7 linked regions of the Ovis aries genome follow. The protein of the gene in region 6 interacts with the protein of the main gene of each other region in a pairwise test. Links are inferred from orthologs where the notes say so. Each region holds a gene or a part of one and is shown on either strand. Other genes may lie near its edges. The genes, in order: CORO1A, SH2D4A, LENG1, FAM107A, SPATC1L, FSD2 and TLE5.

Region 1 (4,634 bases), on a different chromosome or scaffold from region 6:
TCTCTGAACCAAAGGATGGGAATGAACCCCTTCCTCGAGTCTCAAGCCCAGGCTCCGGCCTCTGCTTACTTCTTGGAGCTGTTATTTGTGCTTCTCCTTCCAGCGGGCTGAGAGCTCTTTGGGGCAGAAACTCTGACTCTTTCACCTCTATAACACCAAATTATATCATTTGCCCCTGGGAGACAGGCAGGGCGGGGGTGCTCCTAGGTGAAGACACACCGAGAGGTTAAGTGACCCTCCCAAGGCCACCCATTTGTGCCTGTAGGGGCCTGAGTAGACCCCAGGTCTTCTGGGTGCAGGTGGACACAAGGTTCCCCCTCCTCTTTGCCGCTCGGCCTCCACTTGTTTCCTGACTGGAGGTGGGGCAGAAGGATGGTAACACAGCCTTTGCTTGGGATGAGGGCTATACTAAGGCCCGCTTTGAAGGGACTGATGGGCCATTTTATGGATGCCAGGGAAAGGATGGCGAGTAGGCTGGGGGTGGGCTGGAGAAGGGAAGAAGGAACAGGTTATTTTTGCATTTTTGACATTAAAAAAGTGCAGATTAGATTCTCAGCCACTGGCCAGCAGCATCTGTTTTGGTTTGGAATTGGCAGCTGAGGCGCTGAGCGCCGCGGCGGGAAGGGAGGGGAGGCTGCGGGCTGGTGGGCGAGGCGGCGCCTTGGCGGAGGGAAGGGCTCTCCCCTTTAAGAGCTCCGCCCAAAGGGGCGCTGCCACCCCTGAGGAGGCGGGCGCCGCCGCTTCTCATTCATTGTCTTGACAAGAGCATCCTCCGCGGACGTTCTCAGGCTCCGCCGGCTCCTTCCTCCTCCTCCTCCTCCTCGCCCTCCTCCGTCTGGGGGGTCGCTCATCTCTCAGCCGCAGGTAAGGCTGGAGCCCGGCCACCCGGGCTCGGCATCGCTGCCCTGGGCCACCTGTGGGGCAGGCGAGAGCTTGGCAGAAGCCGGCCGTGGGGGTGGACAGACTGTCAGAGCCGCTGGCTCCGAGGTGGAGACGGGGCCCGTCCACGCCCCGCGTGGAGGGACTCGCCTGAGCGTGTGGGTGCGCGTGGGAGGGTCCACCCGTGTGTCCCAGAGCTCCGTGAGGGGGCGAGGGTGAGGGGCCACGCAGCCAAGATGGAGGTGGGGGAGCCCGGGGGTCAGGACACCCGCCGGCCTCTCCCCAGAACGGGAGTCTTTGGGGTGGCGGTGGGGGGCAGGGTGGGGTGAACCCAGTAGCTGCCCTGAGCTTGGAGACAGGAAGGGGTTGAGAGCAAAACAAGAAAAGGCCAAGTTCCCCTTTCCGTGGTTTCCGGGGCCTGGTACCTGCGGTGGGGGAGGAGGCAGGGTGGGGCGATGGCTTCCTGTCTCCCAGCCTCCAGTTTGGGGCTCCCCTGTTCCCAGACCTAAGCTTCCCTCCCGGAAGGGTCCCCTGCCCCCAGCCAGCTCCTCCTCTCACAGGCGCCTCATCCGCTTTCTGGACAGGTGGACCCACAAGCCTCCTCCAGAGTCCCAGGGTAGGTGAGGGTGGCAGGAGCTCCAAGGGAGAAGGGCTAGGCACGAGGGAGGTGGTGGAGGAGAGGCCGTGGGGCCCCCACACCAAGCTGGCAGGAGATGCTCTGGGGCCCCAGCATGAGGCCTGGAGCCTGGGGAGCCAGAGGCAGGTCCCTTGGCTCTGCTCGCTGTCCACCCAGCCATGGAGGAAAACCGTTCTTGCTGCTCCTCCGAGAAGTGAGCACCAGCCGCTTCCTTCCTGTGGATGGCTTCAGTGGGGTGGAGAAGGCCCTTAAGCGCACCTGCTTAAGTGGGGGCGAGAAGCTGAGGTGTGAGGAGGAGATGCTGGGACCCGAGCCATCTGCCTGCTTCTGGTGCCCAGAGACCCGCTGGGGAAGCCCTCCGGCCATGGGGGACATGCCGCCCAGGCAAACCCACATGCCATTTCCTTCCGTGTGTCCAGCCTGGACCTGGAGGTGGGGAGGGCCCCTGCCTTTTAGATGGCTCCTCATGTGGGTGTGAGGGTGTGAGGTCTGGACGCTGAGGCTGAGTGCACCCTCCACACTGTTGCCCTGAGGCCCTGGAAGGTGGCCCGTCAGAGAGGATGGGCCCTGGGACTGTCAGCCAGTCCGCGGTCAAGTTGGCACTAGGTGCTACCCCTCACCCCAGGCTCTGCTGTGGAGGCTGAGGGTACAGAAGCCAGGCTTGGGACGGGTTGAGACGGTGGGCCTTGCAGGTCAGCCAGGGATGAGGAGGGGTGGGCAAGGCGTGTATAAGGGTAGCTGGATGTCAGTGACAGAGGAGAGCGACAGGGAAGTTAGCTGAGACCATGGCTGCCAGACTGAGGGGTGGGTGTCCTGGGAGAGATGGGGGCCACTGGAAGGTCAGGGTTGACCTGAGGGGAGCAAAGCCTTTCACCCCTGTCTCACCAGGATGAGCCGGCAGGTGGTCCGTTCCAGCAAGTTCCGCCATGTGTTTGGACAGCCGGCCAAGGCTGACCAGTGCTATGAGGATGTGCGCGTCTCACAGAACACCTGGGATAGTGGCTTCTGTGCTGTCAACCCCAAATTCGTGGCCCTGATCTGTGAGGCCAGCGGGGGAGGGGCCTTCCTGGTGCTGCCCCTGGGCAAGGTGAGCCCCTGGAGCCCTGGGGACAGGCCCTCCTCCTAAGGGGGCCTCAGGTGATCTAGTTGGCCCCCTGGGGGTCCCGATGAGGTCTGCGGCTCAGGACAGTGGGCCGCAGTGTTGCCCTCTGCAAAACTGGGTTGAGCCGCATGAACCTTACACTTCCTCCAGCGCCTCCATGCAGTGCTTGGATGGAGCTGAAGCTCAGGGTTGGGAGTGACACGGGAAGTGTCAAATAGCAAGTCCTGCAGACCCAGGGTTAGCCCTCCCAAGTCTCAACCTGGAGCTTTCTCCTGCACAGAGAGGCCTGGGATGGGGTCTGAGTGGGCCCAGCAGTGCTCTTAGGGTTTGGAGGGACCTCTCTGAGGCCCTGGGAAGCCAGTGAGCTCAGTGGCTCCCAGCTCACAGGCAGGGATGAGGTAAGAGACCCTCTCCCCTCGCCAACCCTGGCCTCCCTCAAATCCTGCCCTCCCTGCTGTCTGCGGACCCCCCCGCCCCAGCACACTCCCGTGCTCTTGGGGGGTGAGACAGGAAGGGGAGATGGGCCCTCGGTTGTTACCTTAAAAGGGCTGATGGAAACATAGAGAAGAGGAAGTGGTTGTCAGAGTAAGAGCTGGGCCCGCACTTCACACAGGAAACCGTGCTGTAGCAGCCGTCCCCGGAAGCAGCCATTTCAAACCCGTTATAACAGACTTCCCCATCCTTGTCCTTTCGGGGGGACCTGTCCCCACAGCCCCATCATTCACACACACTTCCCTGGGGAACCCCAGCCCTGATACAACCACACCCTCAGCCTGAATCACGCCGGGGGCCTTGGCCTGTTGTGCCATGGAAGAATCTGGGGTGGGGGTGAGGGCGGGGGTACCAGGCCCCGGCTGAGATGGAGCTGGCAGGAACTTGGCCAGGGTCTGAGAGAGGGGCAGGACCAAGCCCGCATGTCCATCCTGCGCTACCTGTGGCCAGCCTTCTGAGTTGCCCAGACAGCTCTGAGATGGGCAGAGCCCCAAACCCTCCCACCCTAGGTCCCTCTCTGCCTTCCAGGGACCCCACACCTTTCCCCTCTGTGCCTCTCTGAAGGGGTGTGGGGAGGTGGGATTGGGTTTGGCGGGCCAGAGCACCTCCCTCAGAGGCCCCGCTGTGTCCTCCAGACCGGCCGTGTAGACAAGAATGTGCCTATGGTCTGTGGCCACACGGCCCCGGTGCTGGACATCGCCTGGTGCCCGCACAATGATAACGTCATTGCCAGTGGCTCCGAGGACTGCTCCGTCATGGTGAGTATGGGGGGCACCCAGGGGCCAGGAGGGGGCTCAGGCACTGGAGCTGATGTTGGGCACCGCCAAGACTCACTTGCTCGCCCCTTCTCTGCAGGTGTGGGAGATCCCCGATGGGGGCCTGACACTGCCCCTGCGGGAGCCTGTCGTCACCCTGGAGGGCCACACCAAGCGCGTGGGCATTGTGGCCTGGCACCCCACCGCCCAGAACGTGCTGCTCAGTGCAGGTGCCAAGGGCGGGACGCAGGGAGGGCTGGTTGCCTGACAGTCAGGGGGGAGGCTCCTGGCTTCTGACACTGGGGACATCGCCCAGGTTGCGACAATGTGATCCTGGTGTGGGACGTGGGCACGGGGGCGGCCGTGCTGACGCTGGGCTCCGACGTGCACCCGGACACCATCTACAGTGTGGACTGGAGCCGAGATGGTGCCCTCATCTGTACCTCCTGCCGAGACAAACGAGTCCGCATCATTGAGCCCCGAAAAGGCACCATAGTAGCTGTGAGTTGCCTTGACCTTTGACCCTAGGAGCTTAACCCCCCACCCCCCACACCCCCAATGAGGCCCCCTTAGATGTTGCCCACTCCAGCTCCCAGCTGGGGCCTGGCCCTTAGAGGGTGTGTGCGGATGCCTGACCGGTCCCCTCCCTTTCCTTCCAGGAGAAAGATCGTCCCCATGAGGGGACTCGGCCCGTGCGTGCTGTGTTTGTATCCGATGGAAAGATCCTGACCACGGGCTTCAGCCGCATGAGCGAGCGGCAGGTGGCACT
Region 2 (3,978 bases), on a different chromosome or scaffold from region 6:
GGACCCGAACATGCCCCTCGAGTTCAGCTCCACGTGACTTTTTACTGCAGCTTAAGGTCAGTCCGGTTTCAAGAAAGACATCTGCTCTCAGCCTCACCACTCCAGAGTATTGCTGCTTGTGTGTGTGTGTGTGTGTGTGTGTGTGTGCGCGCGCACGCACGCGCGTGCTTCAGGCTAATCAACTGCACCATGAAAAGCTCAGTAACACTGAGGGTCTGCCTGCCAAACCAGACCTCAGACGCGGCTAGCTGCTGACCAGTGTGAGCCATGCAAACAAGCAGGGAGGCCGCCCGCCGCGGAGGCTCCGGGAGGAGTGAGCTCCGCTTACCTGTCTTCGGCCTGGGTTTCACTGGCAGGGACTCCTGTTTTTCCATCGCTGCTTCTCTTTCTTTCCAGCGGCGGACCTGCTCCTCCCTCATCTTGAAGAACAGGATCTGTTTCTGTTCCTCGTTTAGCTCTGCCAGCAGATCAGGATCTATGTACATCTCCGACAGGATCTGTTTCAGCATCTTTGCGGGGCTGGAGTCTTTTGCACCTGAGGCAAAAGTTCTTGAGAACGGCTTCCAGGGCTGCCTCCCCTGGGCTGGCACGGGGGGGCACCCACAGACCTTCCCAGACGCTCGTGGGGCTGGGACGGCGGCAGTTCAGCGAACTGGCTCTGGGTTCCCACACCGGGCCCCCTGTCCAAAACGCCACTCATGAACCTGCAAAGAGCAACCGCCAAGATGCAACTGTGTTAGAAGGTACAAAGGCCAGGACGGGCTTAGGAGCAAGCTTGGCAGAAACACAGATCCGCCTTTATTTCAGGCAAGCTTTGTTAAGAGTTTTGTGTAACCTGTATCCTGTAATTTCCAAAGATACTTTAACAAAAAAACAAAAAAATAAACCCTAACTTTTTACCGGTCACTCTCAGGGAAACAAAAAATTAACAGAGGCTTGGCTGTCTCCCAACTAAGCAAACATGCGATTACTTCCGAGCTCAACAAACCACCACGTCCACAGCTAAAAACAGTTAAAGAGACAAAGGCAAGGATGAAATTAAAAGCCTCTCTCCAAACAACGTACTTCAAAAGCAAACACTGTTTTTGAGATTTCAGAGAATTACCCACCCAAACCCAAGCCAGGCTTAAGGAAGAAATAAAGAAGAAATAAAAATTAGACCATAATGCAATTTTCCCATTTTCCCTTACAAGTGGCTGTTAATACAAACAATTATGCGCTGTCATCTTCACAGATGGACAGTTCGGTGTTCAGACAACTCACCAGAACCACAGAAACCGTGCAGAGCAGGACAGGGCACTCACATGCATTTTGGAAGGGCACCAGGGTTTAGGCGTGCCTCTTCCAGATACCCTAATTTCACAGGGTCTAAATTTACAGACCAGATAAACTGGGGAGCCATGAAATTAAGAGACACTTGCTCCTTAGAAGAAAAGCTATGCCCAAGCTAGACAGCATATTAAAGAGCAGAGACATTACTTTGCCAACAAAGGTCCGTCTAGTCAAGGCTATGGTTTTTCCAGTGGTCATGTATGGATTTGAGAGTTGGGCTGTGAAAAAAGCTGAGCACCAAAGAATTGACGCTTTTGAACTGCGGTGTCGGAGAAGACTCTTGAGAGTCCCTTGGACTGCAAGGAGATCCAACAAGTCCATCCTAAAGGAGATCAGTCCTGGGTGTTCACTGGAAGAACTGATGCTGAAGCTGAAACTCCAATACTTTGGCCATCTGATATGAATAACTGACTTCTTGAAAAAGACCCTGATGCTGGGAAAGATTGAAGGCAGGAGGAGAAGGGGATGACAGAGGATGAGATGGTTGGATGGCATCACCGACTGGACAGACATGAGTTTGGGTAAACTCTGGGAGCTGGTGATGGACAGGGAGGCCTGGCGTGCTGCGGTCCATGGGGTCGCAAAGGTCAAACACGACTGAGCAACTGAACTGAACTGAACTGAAGGGGTGACCAGGCTCATCACAAAGGGTCCTCGCTCTGTAAGACAGTTTCTCAGATGGAGGAGCCTTGGGCCTGAGCACACAGGTGACTTCACAGGGGCACCTACTCCTCAGCAGACGTGTTCTACTTCACACGTTTCCATTTGGTCTATTTTCAAAAAATATAGCAAACCTTCACATTTTTGTCATTAGGAGAAAATGATGTACACATTTCCATTCTGGGGGGAAAAACAGAATGCTTATTTTGTTCCAATATAATAAGAAATCCACAAAAAGCTTATTTATTTCAACTCTGCAGGATCACCTATGTTCTAAGAAACAGACTAACAATCCTACCATCTGGCCACGCCCTCTCAAATATCTTCTTTCTCCAAACTAACTTCAAAGGCTCTTAAGCTTCAGACCAGTCGCTCAGCCACACGGCGGCCCTCCCAGGCCCATGGCCAGTCACCCCCGGCCCTTCTCCTGGTCACCTCCAGGCAGGCTGCCACACTCCTCTCACGCCCGGGAGGCTCCTGCAGCTTCGTTCCTGCTCCACCTCCTTGCGCAGCTGTTTCTCCATTTACACCAGCTTTTTCAGAGAAGCACAAGCAACAGCCCAACAGCCAGGGTACCCAGGGTGCCCTGAGTACCAACAACATGTAGTTCCGTTCACTAACATGCCCTGTGTAGCAGGGACCTTTACTGAGGCTACCACGACCCTCGCCATCTGCGTCCTGCCATCTGTAGCATTCAGTTACCCGGGGCTCAAATGGAACACAGTGTTTAGAGAAATTTTTAAAAGAATTAAAGGCACCGTCCGACTCTAACTCAGTCAGGCACGCCTGCCCCAGGCTGCCTGGCTAGCTTTGTATTTTGCTTTGAGGCGACCCTCAAAGGCTCTAACAGCCACACCACTGATGTCCTGCGATGCGGTCCTGACTCTGCGGTCTCCAGGAGAGGGGCACAACTAAATCTACACTTGACGGGGGTTTCCAGAGGCTGAGCTCTTGTCTGTAGGCGTCAGAACAGCAGGAAGAAGGTAAGTCCTCCACTCACTGGACTCCAGTGCTGGAGACCAAGTGCTAAGAAGCCAAAGTGAATGAGTCCTTGACATTCCGAAGGAACACACCTCAACATAATAAAAGCTATAGATGACATTCCGGTAAAGGTCCTTACGCCGGGACACTTCTTGACCAGGGGTTGACTTTCACAGAAATAAAACACAGGGGAGAGGAGCTGCCCAGGGAAGTTGGAAGCTTCCGCTCTATCCCCCAGTCTGGAATTGGGCGACTCCCAGCAACAGGGACAGGGCAGGCAGCACCTAAACAGGAAAACCCTGAAAGGGCTGAATCCGCTCTCCCCTCCCCACCTGGCGCACTCCTGGTCTCAGACGCTGACCCCAGCCGCAGCCACGACCGACCATGAGCGGTGAAGGCAGTAACTAACGAATCTTCATCCCAACCTTGGAGTTCAGCCCCTTACCATCCCCATTTCCTACAAGACGATGGAGGGGGTGTGCCCGGCCGTCTGGCTCCAAGTCAGGGGCACGGAGTTTTCCGGGAGCCCAGAATCAGGCTTCCCTGGTAGCTCAACTGGTAAAGACCCCTCCTGCAATGCACGAGACCCTGGTTCGATTCTTGTGTCGGGAAGATCCCCTGAAAAAGGGACAGGCTACCCACTCCAGTATTCTTGGGCTTCCTTTTTGGCTCAGCTGGTAAAGACTTCACCTGCAACGCGGGATACCTGGGTTTGATCCCTGAGTTGGAAAGATACCCTGGAGAAAGGAAAGGCTACCTACTCCAGTATTCTGGTCTGGAGAATTCCATGGACTGTATAATCCGCAGGGTCGCAAAGAGTCAGACACGACTGAGCGACTTTAACTTTCACCTTTCAGAATCAGAGCATCACCGGGATGGGGAACTGCAGGTGACGCTTCAGAAGCAAGTTCTGGCAGCAGCGGAAATGCTGAACCCAAAGTGCGTGAGGCAGGGTTGACGTCTTGGGGGCAGAAGCCTCATCTCTGCAAGTGCAAGTGGCCTTAG
Region 3 (4,639 bases), on a different chromosome or scaffold from region 6:
CGCACTGCCTAGCTCATCCCCTCCTCTGTGAGGAGACTGGCCAGGGTGCCAGCCTGCACTCGGCGGTCTGGCATCCTAGGAACACAAGAACGCCTGTTGACTCGAACCTCTGCTCCTCAAACTCTGGTCTCAGAAACAACCTCAGAGCTGTCCAGAATCTAATGTATACAACGTGAACAAGAGCAAGCAGATGGCCCACCAGCCACCAGGGCAGTGGCCTTGTAATAAATACCATGTAGTCTCTGCAGACCCCGGAACAAGGCTGAAAACGTTCAACGGTGTTACGAAAATGGGCCTGACCTTGCAGACCCCAGAGCCCCTGCCTCAGCCAGAGCGCCCGTGGTGCCCACTTGGCCAAAGAGGCTCCTTACTCTTTGGGTCGCTGTTTCTCAGGCGCCTTCTTTTCCTTTGTGCTGTGACCACCACTGTCTCCACTGTGCTTTCTCTTCTTCCCCAAGTGCTTCTGCATCTCCCGCAGCGGGTCCAGGCGGCTCTTGATCCTCTCGTCGGGCCCAGGACCAGAGGCGGGGCCGCCCGGCCTAGGGGGCAGCTGGTACCATGGGGGCTGAGTCTGGGCTTCCGCTGCACTCTGTCCCAGGTATGTTAGGATGCCCAGGGCTTTCTCTTGCCTCTCCTGAGGGAGACAAGATGTGAAAGTGAGAACAGGAAGCATGTTCCCTCTCAGGCAGCCAGGGTTCCCGCAGAGGCAGAACCAGACATTCAGCCAGCAGAGCCCGTCAGGAGCCGACTCTGCCAGCTGCTGGGACTTCAGAGATGAGTCCCCGGGGTGCCCCTGCTCTGGGGCACCAGGACAGCTTCAGCAACAAACAGCATAGGAAGGAGGGGACTGCTTATGTTAGGGTTCAAAGGCAGCATCTTTGAGGAGATAGAAAAGAAACTGTGAAGCCAGCCAGGTAAAGCAGTGACTGAGGGGGGAGGGGCGGGGAGGCAGTCTGATAGGAAACCCCGAGGGCAAGTGAGGGACAGCGTCTGATTTACATTTTAAGAAGCTTAACACTTCCCAACATCTTCAAGGTTTGCACATCAGGTTAGAGACCTGAGGGGGTCTACCTAGCACCCGGCAATAATCAACACCTCTTAACATGCTATGTTCTAATACTATTCTGAGTTCTCTAGCTTGTTTAATCCCCACCATCTCCCTAAATATTCCCGTAATCACACCTGAGGGCAAGGTACACCCCCACCCCTGGCTCCACCCGTGACCCGAGGAAGAGGGTAAGGCCACCTTACTTTCTCCTGTCGCTTCTCTTCCTCGTACTCTTTATTGCCTCTCGTCGCCCCCTTGCCTTCTTCCAGCAGCTCCCGAAACAGATCCACAGGGCCAGAACTGCATGGGGCTCCCGTTTCTGCTTCCAGTGCAGGAAGTGAGTTCTGATGCCTGGCTTTCTTCCGTAGGAATTCTGTGCGGGCCTGGAGGGAAAAAAAGTTACAGGCAGAACATTCAGAACCTAGCTGTAGCCCAAGGGACTCTTGAGCCTAGTGCTGACCACTGCAGTGGTAAGGGCTCGAAGGAAGGGAGCAGGGGCACTGGGAACCCAGAAGAGGCACCTGACTATTCCTGGGGAGAGGGTGGAGCAGTGAGGCAAGGCATGGTTTGTAAGCCATCTTCCAAACAGTAAACGAGGGGGTTTCATTTCTGACACAATGAAAACAGCTATAAAGGCAGCCAAAACATCTATTAGGACAGGTGATCTGAATTCCAGGAAGGGCGCTGAGTCATTATGCCCATTTGATTTCCAATTTCTATTGATAACCGTGAACTTAAAAAATATTGCTTTGGCTGCATCAGATCTAGTTTTATAGCATGTGCGATCTAGTTCTCTGATCAAGGACTGAATCTGGGGCCCCTGCATTGGACGCCACTGGGCCACTAGGGAAGTCCGATAAAGGTGAGCTTTAAAAACCCTGACTACCTCCCAGCCAGTGCTGACGATCGGATTAGTCAAAGGACTGGAAGCTAGGTGTAAACCAAACAGGTGAGGAGTTAGAGAGACTCTCTAACGTTTGTGCGCAGCGGTGCAGGCAAAAGGCACGCCTGGCGCAGCGGGACTGGCTTGAGACACTGTCGCTTCGCTGTGGCTCCTCTGAAGCCATCTCACTTCTCCGCCGAAGGGAGATAACCGCCCCGCTAAGAACGAACAGGGCTCGAGAGACTGCAAATCAAGCGCTTTGCACGGGATGAACAGGGGAAAGCGAAACTGAAGTCGCTCAGTCGTTTCCGACTCCTTGAGACCCCATGGTATGTAGCCCACCAGGCTCCTTCATCCAGGGGATTCTCCAGGCAAGAATACTGGAGCGGATCGCCATTTCCTTCTCCAGGGGATCTTCCCGACCCTGGGGTCGAACCCGGGTCTCCCGCACTGTAGGCAGACTCTTTACTGTCTGAGCCGCCAGGGGACAGCAAGAGCTCACTGCACAGGGTGTTTGTACAGCTAAAGTAACAAGCGGCCCGAGCTTCCGTGAACTGCCCAGGGCTCCGATTACTCACGACCCCCTACTCCGGCCCTCCAGGAGGACCAAGGAGAGGTCGAGGGGAACGTCGGCACGGCCCGCAGGCCCAGCCCGCCCGGGAGCCGGGCCCCAGGTCCGCCAGGGTGGCCCGCTCCCCGGCGCCGCCCCGCTCCCCGGCGCCGCCCCGCTCCCCGGCGCCGCCCCGCTCCCCGGCGCCGCCCCGCTCCCCGGCGCCGCCCCGCTCCCCGGCGCCGCCCCGCTCCCCGGCGCCTGCGCGCTGAGCCGCGGCGCCGCGTCCGCCCGGGCCGGGGGCTCACCTCCTGCTGAGCGAGCAGCGCCCTCCGCTCACGCTCTTTCTCCTCCTCACGGGCTCGGGCCTCGTCACGCCGCACGCGGGCGACATTGTCCTTGTTCCGGACGTGCCAGCTCTTCTTGGGTAAAATATTCATGGCGCCTCAGCCGTCCGCGGACCGACAGGCCCACCTCCTGGCACTTCCAATTGGCGAGAGGCAGGCCCCGCCCCGTTGCTCCTTCCTCGGCCACGGATTGGCTCTGCGCTGCCTGACACGACCCCCCAGGGCTGTAGCGAGAGGTGACTGGCTGCGGGGCCCACGTCCCCCGTCTCCGAGAATCGCGCGTGGCGTCGCCTAGCGACCGCCGCTCCCCAAGACTCTGATTCAATCACGTGTCCCCGCCCCGAGGCTCCTGAACGCAGCCGCTGATTGGCTGGCGCGGTCTCTCTCGCGGAAGAGTCCGCCACGCTCTCAGAGCCACACATTTGATTGGTTTATGTCCTGTGAAGGCTTGCCCCAGCTTCTGGACCGGAGATTAAAAAGCACTCAGCGGCCTCCGCTGTGTTTATTGACACAGTACTAGATTCATTGATACAGTACTAGAAAGAGGTTCACTGGAGGGTCGGGGCCTCAGCAGGGAATCCCAGGGCTGGAAAAGCACGGGGTCTTCCCCAGTTCACTCATTTTCCAAATGATGTTGACGAAGCTCAAAAAGGATCTGGGAGCAGGTCTGGGGCTGGAAGTGGGACGTCACCCCAAGCCAGGCTGGAGAGGTCAAAGAGTTCTGTCGGCCGAGCTCAGCGCCACAGCACGCTGTGCCAGGAAGACTTTATTCTGCGCCTCCTGAGGGAAAGGTAGAGGGGAGGTGAGACACATCTCTCCCCTGTGTTCTTTTTCATACTCTCCAGGACCCCTTCCCAGGGGCCAGGCCTGGCTCACCGTCTGTATCTGGCGTTTGAGTTCAGAGATGAGGCGTCCATATGAGTTAGCCAGGGCCACTGTATACGCCATCAGGATGCTAGCGGAGATAAAGTGGAAGCCACTCCGCAAACGTTCTCAGAATATCTTCCACGTAGGGCTTTTTAGAAAGCAGGGGTCTGGACCTCCTCCTTCAGACTCAAGGAGTCGAAGCATCCCAGCCCCCTCCTTCCCGAAGACCCAAGAGTTTGGGCCCCAACCCCCTTCTCTCTCGGAAGCAGGCAGCGGGACCCCAGGTCAGACATTCAGAATCAGACCCAGGAGTCTAGCGCCCTCACCTGGAGATCAGCAGAAGGGGCACAGCAAAAGCCTGGGTACCCAGGAAGAAGAGAAAATTCTGGGCCATCTGAGGCAGTTTGCAGATAGACTCGGGGATCGCCACCCAGATGGACGACTGACCCCGGAATGGACCACACAGCTTGGAAGGTGGGATCCTGGAATCAGAGATAGGCAGAGGTCAAGGATGGCCCAAAGTCAGAACCCTGGACAGGAGGGTGGAGGGTGGGAGAGGCCGGTACCTCCCACACTTACAGGAAGATGCTATAAAGCACAGGAACCGCGGAGATGGCCAGACCCAGGAGAAGGACCAAGGGGAAAAAGAAATTCACAGTGGAGGCTCGAAAGGTGCGGGAGGCCGGGGAGCAGGTGGAGAAGAGGGTGATCTGGCAGGAGGGGATGAAGGGAATATGAGACACAGGAATCTGAGCCCCAGACGCTCCTTCTTCACCATCCAGGAGCCCTAATCCCTGGCCCCCTCTCCTCAATCAGGAGCCAGGAATCCCAGTTCTTTTCCACCATCAGACAAGAGTCCGGGTCGGTCCCCCACTTCCCTCATACCTAACAATTGGGATGCCCTGGACCCTTCCTCTCACATCCAGGGATCTGTCCTCCAGACC
Region 4 (4,778 bases), on a different chromosome or scaffold from region 6:
ACAGCATGTACCAATTTACAGACTGTAAATTGGAAAACAGTATGGAAGTTCTGCAAAAAAAAAAAAAAAAACTGAAAAGTTTTAAAAACGAAAAAGAGCAATCCCAACTCCTGGGAAAGGGAAGGAAACTGTAATTCAGAAAGATGTATGCACCCAAATGTTCACAGCAGCACTACCGACAGTAGCCGAGACATGGAAGGAACCTAAATGTCCGCTCACGGAGGAGTGGACCCAGGAGACGTAGCACAGAAATACAAGGGAGTATCACTCCGCCATCAAAATGAATCACGCCATCTCCAGCAACATGCGTCAGCCTGGAGACTATCACGCTAAGTGAAGACAGTCAGATAAAGACATACCATATGATATTGTTTACATGCAGAATCTTTAAAAAAAATAATAGGAATGAACTTCTTGACAGAAACAGATTCAGGCTTAGAAAACTTATGGTCGCCAGCCGGTAAAGGTGGGGAGTAGGGATAAATTGAAATAAGTGTATACACCCTGCTACATTCAAAACATAATTAATTAGGACCTAGCGAATAGCACAGTGAACTTTGTTCAATATTCTGTAATAACCTAACTGGGAAAAATTTTTTTAAATGCACGTGTGTGTGTGTGTATATATATATATATATATGTATAACTAAATCACTTTGTTGCATACCTGAAATTGAATCAACGTAAGTATAGTTCAATATGACATAAAAAGCGTCCAAAGTGATTCTAATAGACAACTTTGTAACACAGAGTTTAAAAAAAAAAAAAACAAGCTTTTTTTGCTTTGGCCTGAGTGATTTCAGCTGACTGGTTGGACTGGCTCTTCGGGGCGGGTCTGGTTACAGTCGGTGTGCTTGGCAGCTTTGTGACCTTGGATGGGAACTTAACTTCCTGGACCCTTCTCTCTACAATCAAGATGCTGTGAGGACTGGACAGGCTGAAGTGGTGGAGGTGGGGCAGAGGCAGCCAACGACAGACTCTGCAACTGTAGCCTGCGAGGCTCCTCTGTCCACGGGGTACTCCAGGCGAGAATAGTGGAGTGGGTTGCCATGCCCTCCTCCAGGGCATCTTCCTGAGTCAGGGATCGAACCCGCGTCGCTCATGTCTCCTGCATGGACAGGCAGGCTCTTTACCGCCACCGCCAAGGGGACCCGTGTTGAGCACCTGACATCTGATGAAGGCTCGTTCGCCTGCATTCGGGTCTCACAGTCTCCCCCAGGAGGCAGCCAGTGGTACTGTTTTATTATTCCCATTTTCTAAATGGGAAAACTGAATCTCAGAGAGGCCAAGCTACTTGTCCAAAGATACGCAAAATAAATGGCAAAGTCAGAAGCTTTGGGCCGCAAAGCCAGTGCTCTTTCTGCCACTGCGGTGTCTTCCAGGTGCAAGGCATCGCCTCGGTCAGCCAGGCAGCTTTACATCCCTTGCCTCTCTGGACACTCGGGAGAGCCCAGTAGAGGCAGTGGGAGCCCTTTGATAGTGAGAAACCGGTGCTGCGAACTGGGGAACTCTGCACCCTCCCACTGGGGAGCCCAGGCCGGGCCCTCACTGCTCTGGGCTTAAGCCAGAATCCACCGGCCTGTCTGCGCCCCGCTGGGCTGCTAGCAGAGTCCAGCTGGTGGCCGTGCCTCCCGGGGTGTTGTCTGAGTCTTCACTCTTATGCGCTCCCTCCCCCTGCCCTTGCTCCTCATTACTGATCAAGCTGGCGCGTTTACAACACAGCCAGTGATCTCCTCGGTTCCGCGTTTCACGGGATGGACGCGCAGAGGAGAAGGGAAGCTGTGAAATTAACTACTGACCAAGGAGAAAGAAGCTTTCAGTGAAAGTGACGAGCGTGGCCATCGCATTTCTGAACCTTCGTACCTCTTTCCTCCCAGTGGATAGAGTGCCCATTTGTATTTCCCTGACCTGCAGCCACAGCGTGGCATATCTGGGGGCCTCTTCCACACTTCCAGCCCCCCGCCCCCATGCCTGGAAGCCCCCGCCAGAGCGGCTGGATCACTAGGACGCAGCCTCCCCCAACCAAACTGGCTCAAGACAAACTTCCTCAGCATTCTGCCTGCGTCTCCCGTGACCTCGTTTGTGAGATGGTCTGGTGGGCACACAGGGTTTCGAATCAGTTCCATAGCAGAGGCCAGGGCTGGACGTGGAAGGTCCTTAGCGAGGCGGGTGGAGCGTCCTGTGCAGTTGATCAAGGCACAGTGTCGGCCCACCAGTGGCATAATGCCAGCCACCCCACTTGACCAGTGCCTCTGGCGGGGGGATCCTGGCAGGACTTACCACCAGTGGGGCGAAGAGCCACTCAGCGTCCAAGCTGGCCAGAGATGCAGGTACCGGGGCTGCCCCACAGCGGGGAAACCGCTGGGTTTAGCAGCAGTTCAGAAAAGTGACGCACCCGACCCCATAGCCCCCTGATTCCTGGCCCAGTACCAGCCTTGCCTCACACTGCAAAGTGCTGAAGCCAAACCCAGGTGGGCAACGCACGGACGTGCCCTCACCCTGTGCCACGAGCTGCGCGCAGCGGCCGCACCTCATGAAATCCTTACGACGGACTGAGGAGGTGGTGCTCTTGAGACCCCTTTGTGCCAATGAAGACACTGAGGCTGAGGGGTCTTTCCCAGATCACACGGCCAGCAAGTGAAGGCTCCGGAGCCTGAGCTGAGCTGTCTGCCTGGGGCCGTCTCGGCCGGCTTCTGACCTGTCGGTCCTCAAGAGAACTACCGCTGCCGCGAGGTCATGCCACGCATGAACTCAGAGGCACCCGAGCATTCGGAAGACAGAGATCAGCCAGAGCGGGGCGCGGGGGAGGCTGCATCCGAGCGCTCCCGGCACAGCCTCTCCGAGCCCTTTCCCAAACCCAGGTGCCCAGAGGCACCCGCGTCATCTCGCAGAGTGTGGCACCTGGGCTCCAAGAGCTCTGCCCCCCTGCCGGCCTCCCTGGCGCTGGGAGGCTGCCCTCCTTACCCCGCCACACCCCTTCTTGGCACCGCACCCCAGCTCAGCAGCACGGGGGACAGAAGAGAGCCGGTCTTACTCCTCAGCTGAGCCCGTGTCCTTGGGAAGAGAACTTCCGAGCGCAGCGCTGCTGGTCCTCGCTCCACCAGAGTCCCGGGTGAGCCAGGAGGGGCCGCCTCCACAGGACGGTTCGTCAAGCCCTGGGGATGAAGAGAGCCAGCGAGGGAGGCGGCTCTGCGTTCCTGTTTATTCTGGTATCATTAGAAAGGAACTGTTACTATAGTAACGGGTATTACACTTGGTGCTCGGCCACTTCCTCCATGCGGAACACTGTGTCCGAGCCCCACTGCCGGGGAGGCAGGCGCAAATAAGTATCGATTTGGTCAGATCATTGAGGGGCAAGGACACACCAAGCTTTGTTCTGAGCGGCGTGGCTCAGGCACAGGCATTTCCCTTGTTTCTGATGGAGGGTCAGCCAGAATGCCTTCTGGCACCTCCCTGACCTGGTGGGGGTGGGGGGGGGCAGGCTTCCTGCTGCCCGGCGCGACTCCCCAGGGGAAAGCGGCTGTTGGTGCAAAGGAGGGGAAACTAGGCTGCATCAACTCCAGTCACCCACGTACAGGCCAACAACTCCATCCTTGGTGCTTCCTCAGTGCCCTGAACCTCAGTGGGGAGCCACAGGATGGCGCCCAGGGGATGTGGGTGAGTGGACGCTGACCAGCTCTGGGCCAGACCAGCCCTGGTGTTCGCCCCTGCTCAGCCCGGCATGAGCCCCTTGGGCAGCCGGTCGGCAACCCCTGAGCCTTGGTTTCTGCCTGTCAAGTGTGGAAAACAGCAGTGGTTGAGAAGAAACACAGATGAGCTGACACCGGGAAGCAGGCCGTCAGTGCGCGGCAAGGAGGACTTTTCCTGCGGAGAGAGCTGGACTCGGTGTGAATGGCGTGCAGCGCCGTCCCTGGTGGGGTCTGTGCCCCGAAGGTCTCGTCTCAAGGAGTCAGTGTATGAGTGTGAAAATAAAGAGCATATGTAGCTACCAAAGGCCAGTGTGGGTGTTTACAGATAACAGGCATTCTCCTAGTTTCACAATCCGCTCGCTTGAAACGTGGACGTGTTTTCTAGCCTGTGTTGTCATTCCTTAATCCCCTAGTGAGGAAGCTGACCTCCACTTAAACTTGGCCCTCTTCCCACCTCTACTTTCTCGTGAAGAGTCTGGGTGGGTTGGGAAGTGATTAGACCCAGGGCATACATCCAGCATGAATGCCAGCATTAAAAATGCAATTTTGCTTCGGTAAAATATTAGCAAACTGAATCCAACAGTTCATAAAAGGATCATACACTATGATTAAGTTGGATCCATTCCAGGTTCACAAGGATGGGTCAACATATGCAAACTGGTCAGTGTGGTACCCCATATCAACAAAGGACAGAAACCATCGGATCACTTCAGTAGAGGCAGAAAAAGCATTTGATCAAATTCAACACGCATTCATGATGAAAATTCTCAGCGAAGTGGGTACAGAGGGAACATAGCTCAATGATAAAAGCCATCGATGACAAACCCAGCATAATACTCAACAGTGAAAAGCTGAAAGCCCTCCCACTAAAACCTGGAACAAGACAAGGATGCCCACTCTCACCACTTCTATTCAGCATGGTATTGGAAGTCCTAGCCATCACAATCAGGCAAGAAAAAGAAATACAAAGCATCCAAATCAGAAGGGAAGAGGTAAATTCATCACATACAGGTGACATAATATAGATAGCCCTACAGATTCCACACAAAAGGGTCAGAACTGATCAGCTGAACCCATCAAAGTAGCAGG
Region 5 (3,978 bases), on a different chromosome or scaffold from region 6:
TTAAAGTGAGAGATGTGTAACTCTTCCTTTCACTTGAACACTTAGAGGCCACTGAAGGGTTATTAACTTACCTAATTTCAATACTGTTGTGTTTCAGAGACAAGGGAGGCCCCAGCAGAGGGAGAGGGGTAGAGGGGGGCTGGTCAGTGGAACAGTCAGAACACCCACAACACTTACGCATTAAGTTTTCTGTCTTGCATGGGCATAGTCCTTGGTGTCCCAACGCAATTACGATAGTAACATTAAGGACCACTGAACAAAGATCACAACAAAGATGATCATTTTGTAGTCAATGAAGCAGATGTTTTTCTGGAATTCCCTTGCTTTTTCTATGATCCAACAGATGTTGGCAAATTGATCTCTGGTTTCTCTGCCTTATATAAATCCAGCTTGTACCTCTAGAAGTTCATGGTTCACATACTGCTGAAGCCTAGCTTGAGGGATTTTGAACATAGCAAATAGAAGGGGAAAAATTGAAAGCAGTGACAGATTTTTTTTTTCTTGGGCTCCAAAATCACTGCAGATTGTGACTGCAGCCATAAAATGAAAAGAAGCTTGCTCCTTGGAAGAAAAGCTATGACAAACCTAGACAGCATATTAAAAAGCAGAGACATCAATTTGTCAACAAAGGTCCATATGATCAAAGTTATGGTTTTTCCAGTATTCATGTATGGATGTGACAGTTGGACCATAAAGAAGGCTGAAAGCCAAAGAATTGATGCTTTTGAACTGTGGTGTTGGAGAAGACTCTTGAGAGCCCTTTGGATGGCAAGGAGATCAAACCAGTCAATCCTAAAGGAAATCAACCCTGAGTATTCACTGGAAGGACTGATGTTGACACTGAAGCTCCAAATCTCTGGTAATCTGATGCACAGAGCTGACTCACTAGACAAGACCCTGATGCTAGGAAAGACTGAAGGCAAAAGGAAAAGAGGGCAGCATGAGGTGGTTAGATAGAATCACCAACACAATGGACAAGAATTTGAACAAACTCCTGGAGATATTTCCCCCAGCAATCTTGATTCCAGTTTGTGATTTACCCTGCCCAGCATTCCACATGATGTACTCTGCATGTAGAACCAGACATGGAACAATAGACTGGTTCCAAATTGGTTAAGGAGTATGTCAAGGCTGTACATTGTCACCCTGCTTATTTAACTTCTATGCAGAGTACATCATGAGAAATGCCGGGCTGGATGAAGCACAAGCTATAATCAAGATTGCAATAACCTCAGATATGCAGATGACACTACCCTTATGGCAGAAAGCAAAGAGGAACTGAAGAGCCTCTTGATGAAAGTGAAAGAGGAGAGTGAAAAACCTGGCTTAAAACTCAATATTCTAAAAACAAACATCATGGCATTTGGTCCCATCACTTCATGGCAAGTAGATGGGAAACAATGGAAACAGTGAGAGACTTTGTTTTCCTGGGCTCCAGAATCACTGCAGATGGTGACTGCAGCCATGGAATTAAAAGACGCTTGCTCCTTGGAAGAAAAGCTATGACTAACCTAGACAGCATATTAAAAAGCAGAGATATTACTTTGCTGACAAAGATCTGGCTAGTCAAAGCTTTGGTTTTTCCAGTAGTCATGTATGGATGTGAGACCTGGACCATAAAGAAAGGTGAGCATTGAAAAATTAATGCTTTTGAACTGTGGTGTTGGAGAAGACTCTTGAGCGTCCGTTGGACTGCAAAGAGATCCAACCATTCAATCCTAAAGGAAATCAGTCCTGAATATTCACTGGAAGGACTGGTGCTGAAGCTCCACTTGAAAAGAAAGAACTTGGCCACTTGATGAGAAGAACTGACTGGTTGGAAAAGACCCTGATGCTGGGAAAGAGTGAAGGCAGGAGGAGAAGGGGACAACAGAGGATGAGATGGTTGGATTACAGACTCAACTGACATGAGTTTGAGCAAGCTCCAGGAGTTGGTAATGGACAGGGAAGCCTGGCATGCTGCAGTCCATGGGATCCCGAAGAGTCAGACATGACTGAGCAACTGAGCTGAACTGAACTGAGCTCTGCATGTAAGTTAAATAAGCAGGGTGACAACATACAGCCTGGACATAGTCCTTTCCCAATTTTGAACCAGTCAGTTGTTCCACGTCCAGTTCTAACTGTTGCTTCCTGTCCTACATTCAGGTTTCTCAGGAGACAGGTAAGGTAAGGTATTCCCATGTCCACAGTTTACTTTCCAGAATTTTCCACAGTTTATTGTGATCCACATAGTCAAAGGCTTTAGTGTAGTCAATGAAGCAGAATCACAGCCTTGTCATGGCAAAGAGGCCTGTATAACTCAATGAAGCTATGAGCCATGCCTTGTAGGGCCACCCAAGATGGGTGGGTCATACTGAAAAGTTCTGACAGAATGTAGTCCACTGGAGGAGGGAAGGATACCCCCTCCCCCTTCATGGATCATATTTGCAAAACATGTACCAAAAAAGTCTGGTATCCAGAATACACAACTCAATCATAAGAAGATAAGCTACTCACTTATTTAAATGGTCAAAAGATGTGTACAGACAGGGCTCCAGATCCCAGGAGCATGGGCACACTCTCCTTCTCCGGCTGCTGGCTGGATGCAGAAGCTGGGCCCTCCCCAGCGGCCAACCCCCCACTCCTGCCTGCTGCTCACCCTCCTCACCATTCAGGTAGTAGCTCCTCCTGGTTCGGTCCCCCGAGGGCAGGCTGCTCTCTGAGAAGCACACCTTTTTGGGCCGGCCCACTTCCCGGGTCTCCAGCAGGGTCTTCTCCACCAGCGGGTCCTGCAAGGGGCTCAGAAGCGGGGACAGCTTTCGGTCGGAGCCTCGGGAGGCACGCAGTTCTGGGGAGCTGAGAAAAGCCTTGAAGGGCACCTGGGAGGATGTCACGCAGCCCGGAGAGGCGTCATCCTCGCTGGAGAGGGGGGCATGTGAGCACAGCAGGTCTTCCAGGGAGGACCCCTGCAGCTGGGAGGGTGCATCAGGGCCACTGGTGAACCTTCCAAAGTCTGGAACTGGGGCAGGGAAGGAGGAACAAGCTGTGAGGCGGAGGCTCCTGGAGCACCTGCATCTTGCAGAGACCCTGCCCCCAGCTCTGACATCTGCCCCCACTTCCCCTCTGGAGGAGGCGATGGATCCTAGGACACCAGCAGCCCCGGGTTCAGAGGCACAGCACACGTATGGCCTCCAACACTCCCACTGTGTGTCCACACACTGTGACAGTGACCTACATGTGTCTTAAATTTTATATAAATGGTATCGTCCAGCTCCTTTTATTATGAAACTTCTTTTTTTGAGATTTATCCATGATGAGTGTGTCATTGGGTAGCTCTATGGTTCACTGAACCATTTCCTGGCACACGTGCATACATGGGCACACATCTGCACATACATGCACACACACACATGGATTTTTTTCATCCACCCCCCCACCCTGCTGCACATGGGACTGTTTCCAGCATTCCTTGTAAAAGCAGAGTGGTGGTCAGCGTCCCTCATGTGTGTCCCCTGCCAGACACACGGCCCAGGAACCATCAGGAAGTCACAGCAGTGAGGCAGCAAGGGCCCCCGGTGCTTGTTCTTCCTCTGGCTCAGTCCCAGAAGCCTGGGCCCCTTTGTTCAGGACTCCCATATTCCCAGGGGAGGTAGGCCATCCCAGCCCTGGGCAGGGGCCGGGAAAACTCTACTCGTGGGCTTGGGGAAGTGCCATATCTGTGACCTAATTTTAAAGGGATTGTTGTGCGGTCAGGTGTGTTTGCACTTCACTTTTAGTTTCTATTTAGTGAACTGAAATTCCCTTCTGTTATTCCCAAGGCTTAACAAAGTTGTGTGAAACATAAAACAATTTTTTAAATCCTCAGTCAAAACTTCCCTGGTGGCTCAGAGGTTAAAGCGTCTGCCTGCAATGTGGGAGACCTGGGTTCGATTCCTGGGTCGGGAAGATCCCCTGGAGAAGGAAGTGGCAACCCACTCCAGTATTCTTGCCTGGAGAATC
Region 6 (3,107 bases):
TAGCCTTACCCCTCCCACTCCACACAGATGCCCACTCTTCCTTTATGCCCCTTGTTCTTAACTAAGGAGACTGCTTTTTAGTCTTACTTCAGGCAGAATATTAAAAAACAGTGTGTGGCTCAGTGCACGGTGTCTCTTGCATTCTCCAAACTGGATCTGAGGTCTAGCAGAGTGCATTTTAGAGCACATTTTAGTCCTAATACCTTACAGGAGGAAGGCTGGTCTCACCTTTGCTCGGGCATGGCAACATTTAACTAACCATGATCGAGGTTTCACTGTGTGAAACATTAATAGGTTTCAGCAAGTTGAGGGTCAGAGGCCCCATAGTACACACGATACTGGGAGAGTGAGGTGATAAAATTTTTTGCAATTTTTGAGATGGAGGGAGGTTGCACTCAATGGCCTTCTGAGTCGGAAGTGTCTGTTGGCCTGGGCCTTGTGGATTTTCCTCCATTAGAAGACAGAATGCTTTTAGCAGCAGAAGCAAACCAGAATTAATCATAACCATTAAGCTTCTGCCCACATCTACCAAAAAAGTTGGACTTGGGACTTCAAGTCAAACTTCATTTAGTAACACTGAAGTTGAACATAAATGTAAAACCAATCACTTAGTGGTAAAGAATGCTGTCTTTGGAGCCAGACTGCCTGGGTTTGAATCCAAGCCCTGAATCCATGTTGGCAGTGGCTCTGTGTAAAGAATCCGCCTGTCAATGCAGGAAACTCAGTTTCCCTCCCTGGTCTGGGAAAGTCCCACATGCCATAGAGTAACTAAGCCCAAGAGTGCCACAACTATTACGCCTGCGCTCTAGAGCCCAGGAGCCACAACTACTGAGCCTACATGCTCTAGAGCCTGCGCTCGCAGCAAGAGGAGCCAGCGCAATGAGAAGCCCACACTGCCCTGGAGAGTAGCCCCTGCTCGGTGCCACTAGCGAAAAGCCCAGGAAGCAGCAAAGGCCCGGCACAGCCAAAACAAGTAAATGGGACAATACAGCTGTGAGAGACAAATGAGATAGTATGTGCAAGGTTGTTGAGCAATGCTTAACACAGAATAAGCGCTCCATAAATTTTAGCTATTTTATCAAAAGTACCCAGAGCTGCTTTCTCTTTCTAGCTGGACTTTAGGGAAAGGGGCAGGAAATGAGTCCTGAAACATCTTAGCATATTTTAGAAAACATAACATGGACCTTAGTTATTACCAGTGAAAACCTCTCCCTCTATTCCTACCAAAGTACATTTTGATCTCAGGTACCCAGATTTCGCCTTACCTTGATGACGCAAATGTGTGCCTCATGCACCACGAGAGGCGGTTTGCCCCCAGGTCCTCTTGTCTGGGGACATCTTCAAAGGCCACACCCACCGTGTAGTCCAAACACTCATCCACCTCTACCTCCCAGTAATGGCGCCCTCGGACTGGAATTAGGTTTCCCATGACTGCAGCACACCTGATTTTAGAAAGTAGAAGTATGTGTCATTTGGGGTGACCCACGCCTGGCTGTGCAGGTGAGTGACACCAACTGCTAGGGTCAGTCAGTAAGTGGTCAGGAAGGGTGGAGGCAGGTGTTCAAACACCTCATTTGTAAGGCGGCACAACCTTTGCTCTCAAAGCTCAGCTGCCCGATGCTGAAGATCAGAAGAAGATTAGTACACTGCTGGCCACAGGTGAGGAGGAGACAAGCCCACTCTGTGTGCTTTTTCGGCAACCGGGCTTTTTAGAGTAACAAAAAGATTTGGTTCACTTGTTCCTTAAAAAAGAAAGAGATTGACGACTTTCCTTGTGGTCCCGTGGTTAAGACTGTGCTCACAATGCAGGGAGCCCAGGTTCGATTCCTGCCCTGGAGCTAACAGTCCACATGCTGCAACTAAGGCTCAGTGCAGCTAAATAAATAAATATTGAATGAACAAGACCACAGGCCCAAACTGGAGTTCTGTGTGCCAAGCCCCATGTCACCAGTAAGCAACAACTTAGTTACAGTTTTACCTTTCACCTAAATGGAATTTTAAACCAGTCAATCAGAACACTAGTTAGGTAATATGCTTGAGAGACCCCTGACCTTTCCTAAAGGAAAGTAACCTTACCACAGCCAACTTGCTTTTTAAAATAAAAAAAATTTTTTTTTTAAATTTTGTATTGGGGTATAGCCAATTAACAAACAATGTTGTGATAGCTTCAGGTGAACAGTGAAGGGACTCAGCCACACATATACCTGTATCCATTCTCCCCAAACTCCCTTCCCATTCAGGTTGCTGCATAACAGTAGGTTCTTGTTGATTATCCATCTTAAATATAGAAGTCTATACACATGCATTCCAAACTCCCTGACTATCCCTTCCCCACATCCTTACCCCCTGACAACCATAAGTTCGTTCTCTCAGTCTGTGAGTCTCTGTTTTGTAATTTTGTGTCATTTCTTTTTAGATTCCACATAAAAGGGATGTCGTATGGTATTTCTCCTCTGTCTGACTCTTCCCTCAGTAAGACAACCTCTAGATCCGTCCACGTTGTTGCGAATGGCGTTATTCCATTCTTTCGAGTGGCTGAGTAGTATTCTCTTGTATGCATGGGCCACAGCTTCCTTATGCACTCCTCTGCCGGTGGACATTTAGCCAACCTGCCTTTTTTGCCTGGAAATATAATTTCCTTGTTCCTGATCCCTTCCACCTGAAAAAGTCTTTCATTCTGTACAGCTCCTTGGACCTCCTTTCTACCTGCTAGATTAGGGGCTGCCCAACTCAAGAATTATTGGGAAAAAGTCAGTAAGCACTTTCAGAGTTGCTCAGTTTCATTTTGTTTCTCAGCGCAGGTAAGAACTTGATTGCTTCTTGTTCCTCTCTGCCCCGCCAATCCCGCGCTGAATGGGTGGAGGCAAGGAAGGGTAACGCTGCTCCACTGTACTCTGTGCTGCTCTGCCGCCACAAGCCGCCACAGGCGTGCGTGCTGGTCGCTCAGTCGTGTCCAACTCCCTGTGACCTCGTGGACTGTAACCCGCCAGCTCCTTTGTCCGTGGGATTCTCCAGGCAAGAACACTGCAGTGGGTAGCCATTCCCTTCTCCGAGGGGTCTTCCCAACCCAGGAATTGAACCAGGGTCTCCTACGGTCTTTACCATCT
Region 7 (3,359 bases), on a different chromosome or scaffold from region 6:
ACCCCTTGCCTCATTCCCTGTGCCCTTGGCCACCTGGAAAGCCACTGGATCAGGCAGATAGTTGAGAATTCCCTGGTCTCCTCATGCTCCTAGTCCCTTGAGAGTGAGAGTTCTATGCCAAGAAGCCCTGGCAAAGATCTTGCAAGATGGAAGATACTGCAAAGTCAAAATGACAGCTCCCACTCTCCAACCCGCTCCTTGCCCTCAGCCCTATATCCTGGGTGGGGAGACTGATGTTCTCTTGACTGAAGTGCCAGGTGCCCTAGGGAACCACCTTTCCTCCTGGCTCCCCCTCCCCAGGTGGTCCAGCTTGGATGCAGGGGCGTGAAGGCAGGCTCCAAGTGGTCCTTGGAGAGTTGAGGTCCAGCCAGGAATCAGTTCTCTGATCTGGAAGAAGCCATCTGTAATGCACGCACAGTGACTGCTCATGGTCTTAACATCTGTCTCTTAAGGGTAAAGAATTTCACTTAGGAACCATCTGGCCTGAGGCTCAGAAACCAGTCCCACCACTTATGCTCAGTGACCCCTTAGCTTTTCTGAGTCCTTTTGCCTACTTGTCAAAACAGCTGACCAGACCTCAAACACCTAGGCTTTACTGTGTGACCTCGAGCCTCCATCTGACCATCTCTGGGCTAGGGACTGCGTTCAGGAGCTAAATTATATTTACAAGCTGGACTCAGGACTGTTCATATCCAGTCCCGTAACAGAGGAGGGGCCTGAGGCTTGAAGGAGGCCCCCCTCCTCCCCTGGGAAGGGAGTCACCGCGGGGCAGCCCACAACACAGAGGCAGAAACACAGCAACCAACCTTCTCACGTCTTTATTTGAAAGGCACAGCTAAGCCCACCCTCGATACAGCATTTTCACTTCTCTCCGTAGAGATCAAACGACTGAACACAACAAAAGCTGACAGTCTAAAAGGCTATATACAGACACAGGTGTGGGTGTTGCTTTTTTTTTTTTTTTTAACATTTTTGTCTTTTTCCTTTTTTTAATATCCCTTTTCTTAAAAGACAAGCTAGTATACTGGAAAAGGGGGGGGGAATAAAAACCAAGACAACTTGAGTACCCTCATCTTTATTCGGGAAGGGGAGAAAGGGAGTTCTGAGTTGCTGGCCCCACTGTTGCCCTGGGGCTAAGCTTGCTGTCGGTGGCCCCTCTTTCTTTTGTGGGTGCGGGCATCAGGAACTCATGGAGGGTGAGTGGGTGGGAGGGGGAGACGCGGGGTGCCCAGGGTGGGGAGGGGCAGCTAGCATTGTGTTTGCATGCAGTGCCAGAATGGGAGGCTGGGGTGGGGGCCCCCTCCTGGCGGGCAGACTGTCAGTTACATGTGTGTGAATCAGGGAAATGCAGGGGGTGTTGGACCTCTTGAGGTTTTGCTCCCTTAGGACCTGGCCTCCCCTATGTCTCCAGGCCTCAGCTTGCCTCATCTGTGGTATGAGTGGGTACTGACCCATTCAGTCTACAGGGGAGGAGGAGGCCAGGAATTAGGGGTAGGAGCCAAGCCAGGGTAGGGCACAGAAGCAGGGCGACAGCCCCAGCAGGCAGCTAACATAAATACTACCAGAGTTTGGCCAATCCCAAGCTATCACTGTGTCTCGCGTGCTGAACCTTCCTCTCTCTCAGTGTTTGTCTCCCCTCTGTCCCACCCCCCACCCTCCCCATCCCAGCCGCCCACTAATCCGACTTCTCGCCGTCGTCCTCCTGGTGGGTGTCACCGTCATGCCCGTTTTTGTCTTCCTTGGAGAGGTGGGCCTGGGAGCCCAGCGCTGACAGAGAGAGGAGGCCGGTGCCCGCGCTGACCGCCGGCAGAGAAGGGGGCTGCAGCCCCACAGGCAGGGGGGTCAGGGGCAGGGCCAGAGCCTGCAGCTGAGACAGCTGGTGGGCTTGGAGCTGCTGCTGCAGTACACAAACAGGGGAGCATTAGCCCCCTTGAGCCCACCTGTCCCTCCCCCATCCCCCCACAAGACCCCAGACGTACTCGGATGATGGAGTTCAGCTCAGGAGCAGTGACCTGCTTAGCCCTCTCGATGGCTCCCAAGACCTGCTGCTGGTGCTGGAAAGTGGGGGGTGGGGGATGGAGAGGTGACAGATGATTCACCCCGTCTTGTTGGGATTTGTGGCACAGAGCCCAGAAGTCCCACTCCCATCTGCACTGTTAGAGCCCTCCCTCTCCTCGATTTCCCATCTCTCCCCTCAGGAAACTCCCCTCTCTCCAGGTGATTCCTTTCACAAAGCCTCAGTCTCTTCATCTGGAAAATGGGATACATAGAGATGCACAGAAGGCCCAAAGGGCTTGGTACCAGAATCTTAGGAAACCGTGGACTATGACCAATGCCACATGCAAAGAAGTCAAAGCTTGTTAAGAGCTCAGACCAGGACTGCTAATGGAAGAGATCTGAGGTCTGCTAACCCAAGCTCCTCTTCCTCCGCAGCCGTGAAGGCCCAGTGAATTCTGGCACAGCTGGGGTACGAGTCGAGGTTCGGGGCAATCCCCAGCTTTCCCTGAAAATTTGTCTCTTTGGCTATCAGATGCTAAAATCTGCCAAGCTCCTTTTGTGCCTTGGCTACCAGGGAGCCCCTGCTATGAAAGGAAACCATAAAGCTAGATTTTCAGGGCCCTAAGAATCTCCTTCTCTGGGGCTTCCATGGTGTCCTCCTGGAATTGTCCCTGGGCATCATCCCCTGTGGGACCCTAAGGTACCAGCAGAGTTTAAAAAGGAAATGATGAATTATCAGCGGTAAATCTGGCAGAGAGCAGAGGGGTCTTACGTGACCCAGACGTGTGTGTGCGCGTACAGTGGGCTTCACACCGAGAATCCCAGGAAACAGAAGAGGAAGACTTGGGTGCATAGACCTTTGCGTGTCCATGTGCTTGTGTGTCTATGTTTTGCATCTGTGCATTTGTCTATTGCATCTGTGTCTGTCTGTATGTCTGCCTCTGTGTGCAGAGTGCCTTCCTGTACACCCAGCGGCCAGCAGGACCAGGCAGACGAATCTCAGGAAGGTGAAAGGCAGAAACAAAATTCTTGGTGCAGTGTTCGGCAATGTAGCTGACGTTTTTACGGTGCAATGACTCACGCAGGCTGGGAATTCCACAGCAGGGTGAGGTCCTTCCCTTCACCCCTGGGGTTTCTCCTGCACAGACTGGCTGATGGCTGGGAGGTCCAGAGAAGGCAGTCGTGTGCCCTGGGGCACACAGATGCCTACAGAGGGGTGGGGCTGAGGGAAGTTCAGGGTCTATCTCCTCCCAGCAGACCCCCGGGGGCTCTGCTCACCTCTTGGGACAGGTAGGGCAGGACCTGGGCACATATCCCATTTAGCCTCTTGACGATTTCAGCCTGGAACAGACAGACACTTC

Evidence for each region.
Region 1: the proteins of FSD2 (region 6) and CORO1A interact in binary tests that used the Homo sapiens proteins (3 or more experiments, as listed by UniProt). The two-hybrid records come from large-scale screens. The link is inferred for Ovis aries from reciprocal best matches to the Homo sapiens genes FSD2 and CORO1A.
Region 2: the proteins of FSD2 (region 6) and SH2D4A interact in binary tests that used the Homo sapiens proteins (3 or more experiments, as listed by UniProt). The two-hybrid records come from large-scale screens. The link is inferred for Ovis aries from reciprocal best matches to the Homo sapiens genes FSD2 and SH2D4A.
Region 3: the proteins of FSD2 (region 6) and LENG1 interact in binary tests that used the Homo sapiens proteins (3 or more experiments, as listed by UniProt). The two-hybrid records come from large-scale screens. The link is inferred for Ovis aries from reciprocal best matches to the Homo sapiens genes FSD2 and LENG1.
Region 4: the proteins of FSD2 (region 6) and FAM107A interact in binary tests that used the Homo sapiens proteins (3 or more experiments, as listed by UniProt). The two-hybrid records come from large-scale screens. The link is inferred for Ovis aries from reciprocal best matches to the Homo sapiens genes FSD2 and FAM107A.
Region 5: the proteins of FSD2 (region 6) and SPATC1L interact in binary tests that used the Homo sapiens proteins (3 or more experiments, as listed by UniProt). The two-hybrid records come from large-scale screens. The link is inferred for Ovis aries from reciprocal best matches to the Homo sapiens genes FSD2 and SPATC1L.
Region 7: the proteins of FSD2 (region 6) and TLE5 interact in binary tests that used the Homo sapiens proteins (3 or more experiments, as listed by UniProt). The two-hybrid records come from large-scale screens. The link is inferred for Ovis aries from reciprocal best matches to the Homo sapiens genes FSD2 and TLE5.

The regions. Positions count from the first base shown.
Region 1 is NC_056077.1:26,650,083-26,654,716, reverse strand, and holds the start of CORO1A (coronin-1A), read left to right. Parts: upstream 1-1,435; 5' UTR 1,436-1,592; coding exon 1,593-1,948; intron 1,949-2,404; coding exon 2,405-2,603; intron 2,604-3,745; coding exon 3,746-3,868; intron 3,869-3,965; coding exon 3,966-4,095; intron 4,096-4,181; coding exon 4,182-4,366; intron 4,367-4,524; coding exon 4,525-4,634. UniProt on the Homo sapiens protein: May be a crucial component of the cytoskeleton of highly motile cells, functioning both in the invagination of large pieces of plasma membrane, as well as in forming protrusions of the plasma membrane involved in cell locomotion.
Region 2 is NC_056079.1:37,631,221-37,635,198, forward strand, and holds part of SH2D4A (SH2 domain-containing protein 4A), read right to left. Parts: intron 705-3,978; 5' UTR 510-704; coding exon 329-509; intron 1-328. UniProt on the Homo sapiens protein: Inhibits estrogen-induced cell proliferation by competing with PLCG for binding to ESR1, blocking the effect of estrogen on PLCG and repressing estrogen-induced proliferation. May play a role in T-cell development and function.
Region 3 is NC_056067.1:63,980,396-63,985,034, reverse strand, and holds the start of LENG1 (leukocyte receptor cluster member 1), read right to left. Parts: upstream 2,948-4,639; 5' UTR 2,922-2,947; coding exon 2,790-2,921; intron 1,432-2,789; coding exon 1,252-1,431; intron 635-1,251; coding exon 372-634; intron 1-371. Other genes in the region: TMC4 (transmembrane channel-like protein 4), read right to left, coding at 3,540-3,608, 3,705-3,783, 4,022-4,177, 4,275-4,405.
Region 4 is NC_056072.1:42,903,781-42,908,558, reverse strand, and holds the start of FAM107A (actin-associated protein FAM107A), read right to left. Parts: upstream 3,110-4,778; 5' UTR 2,993-3,109; exon of another isoform or gene 1-2,992. UniProt on the Homo sapiens protein: Stress-inducible actin-binding protein that plays a role in synaptic and cognitive functions by modulating actin filamentous (F-actin) dynamics. Mediates polymerization of globular actin to F-actin. Also binds to, stabilizes and bundles F-actin.
Region 5 is NC_056054.1:266,610,912-266,614,889, forward strand, and holds part of SPATC1L (speriolin-like protein), read right to left. Parts: intron 2,999-3,978; coding exon 2,648-2,998; intron 1-2,647.
Region 6 is NC_056071.1:22,359,539-22,362,645, forward strand, and holds part of FSD2 (fibronectin type III and SPRY domain-containing protein 2), read right to left. Parts: intron 1,443-3,107; coding exon 1,266-1,442; intron 1-1,265.
Region 7 is NC_056058.1:18,531,097-18,534,455, reverse strand, and holds the end of TLE5 (TLE family member 5), read right to left. Parts: intron 3,340-3,359; coding exon 3,277-3,339; intron 2,055-3,276; coding exon 1,980-2,054; intron 1,898-1,979; coding exon 1,676-1,897; 3' UTR 803-1,675; downstream 1-802. UniProt on the Homo sapiens protein: Transcriptional corepressor. Acts as a dominant repressor towards other family members. Inhibits NF-kappa-B-regulated gene expression. May be required for the initiation and maintenance of the differentiated state.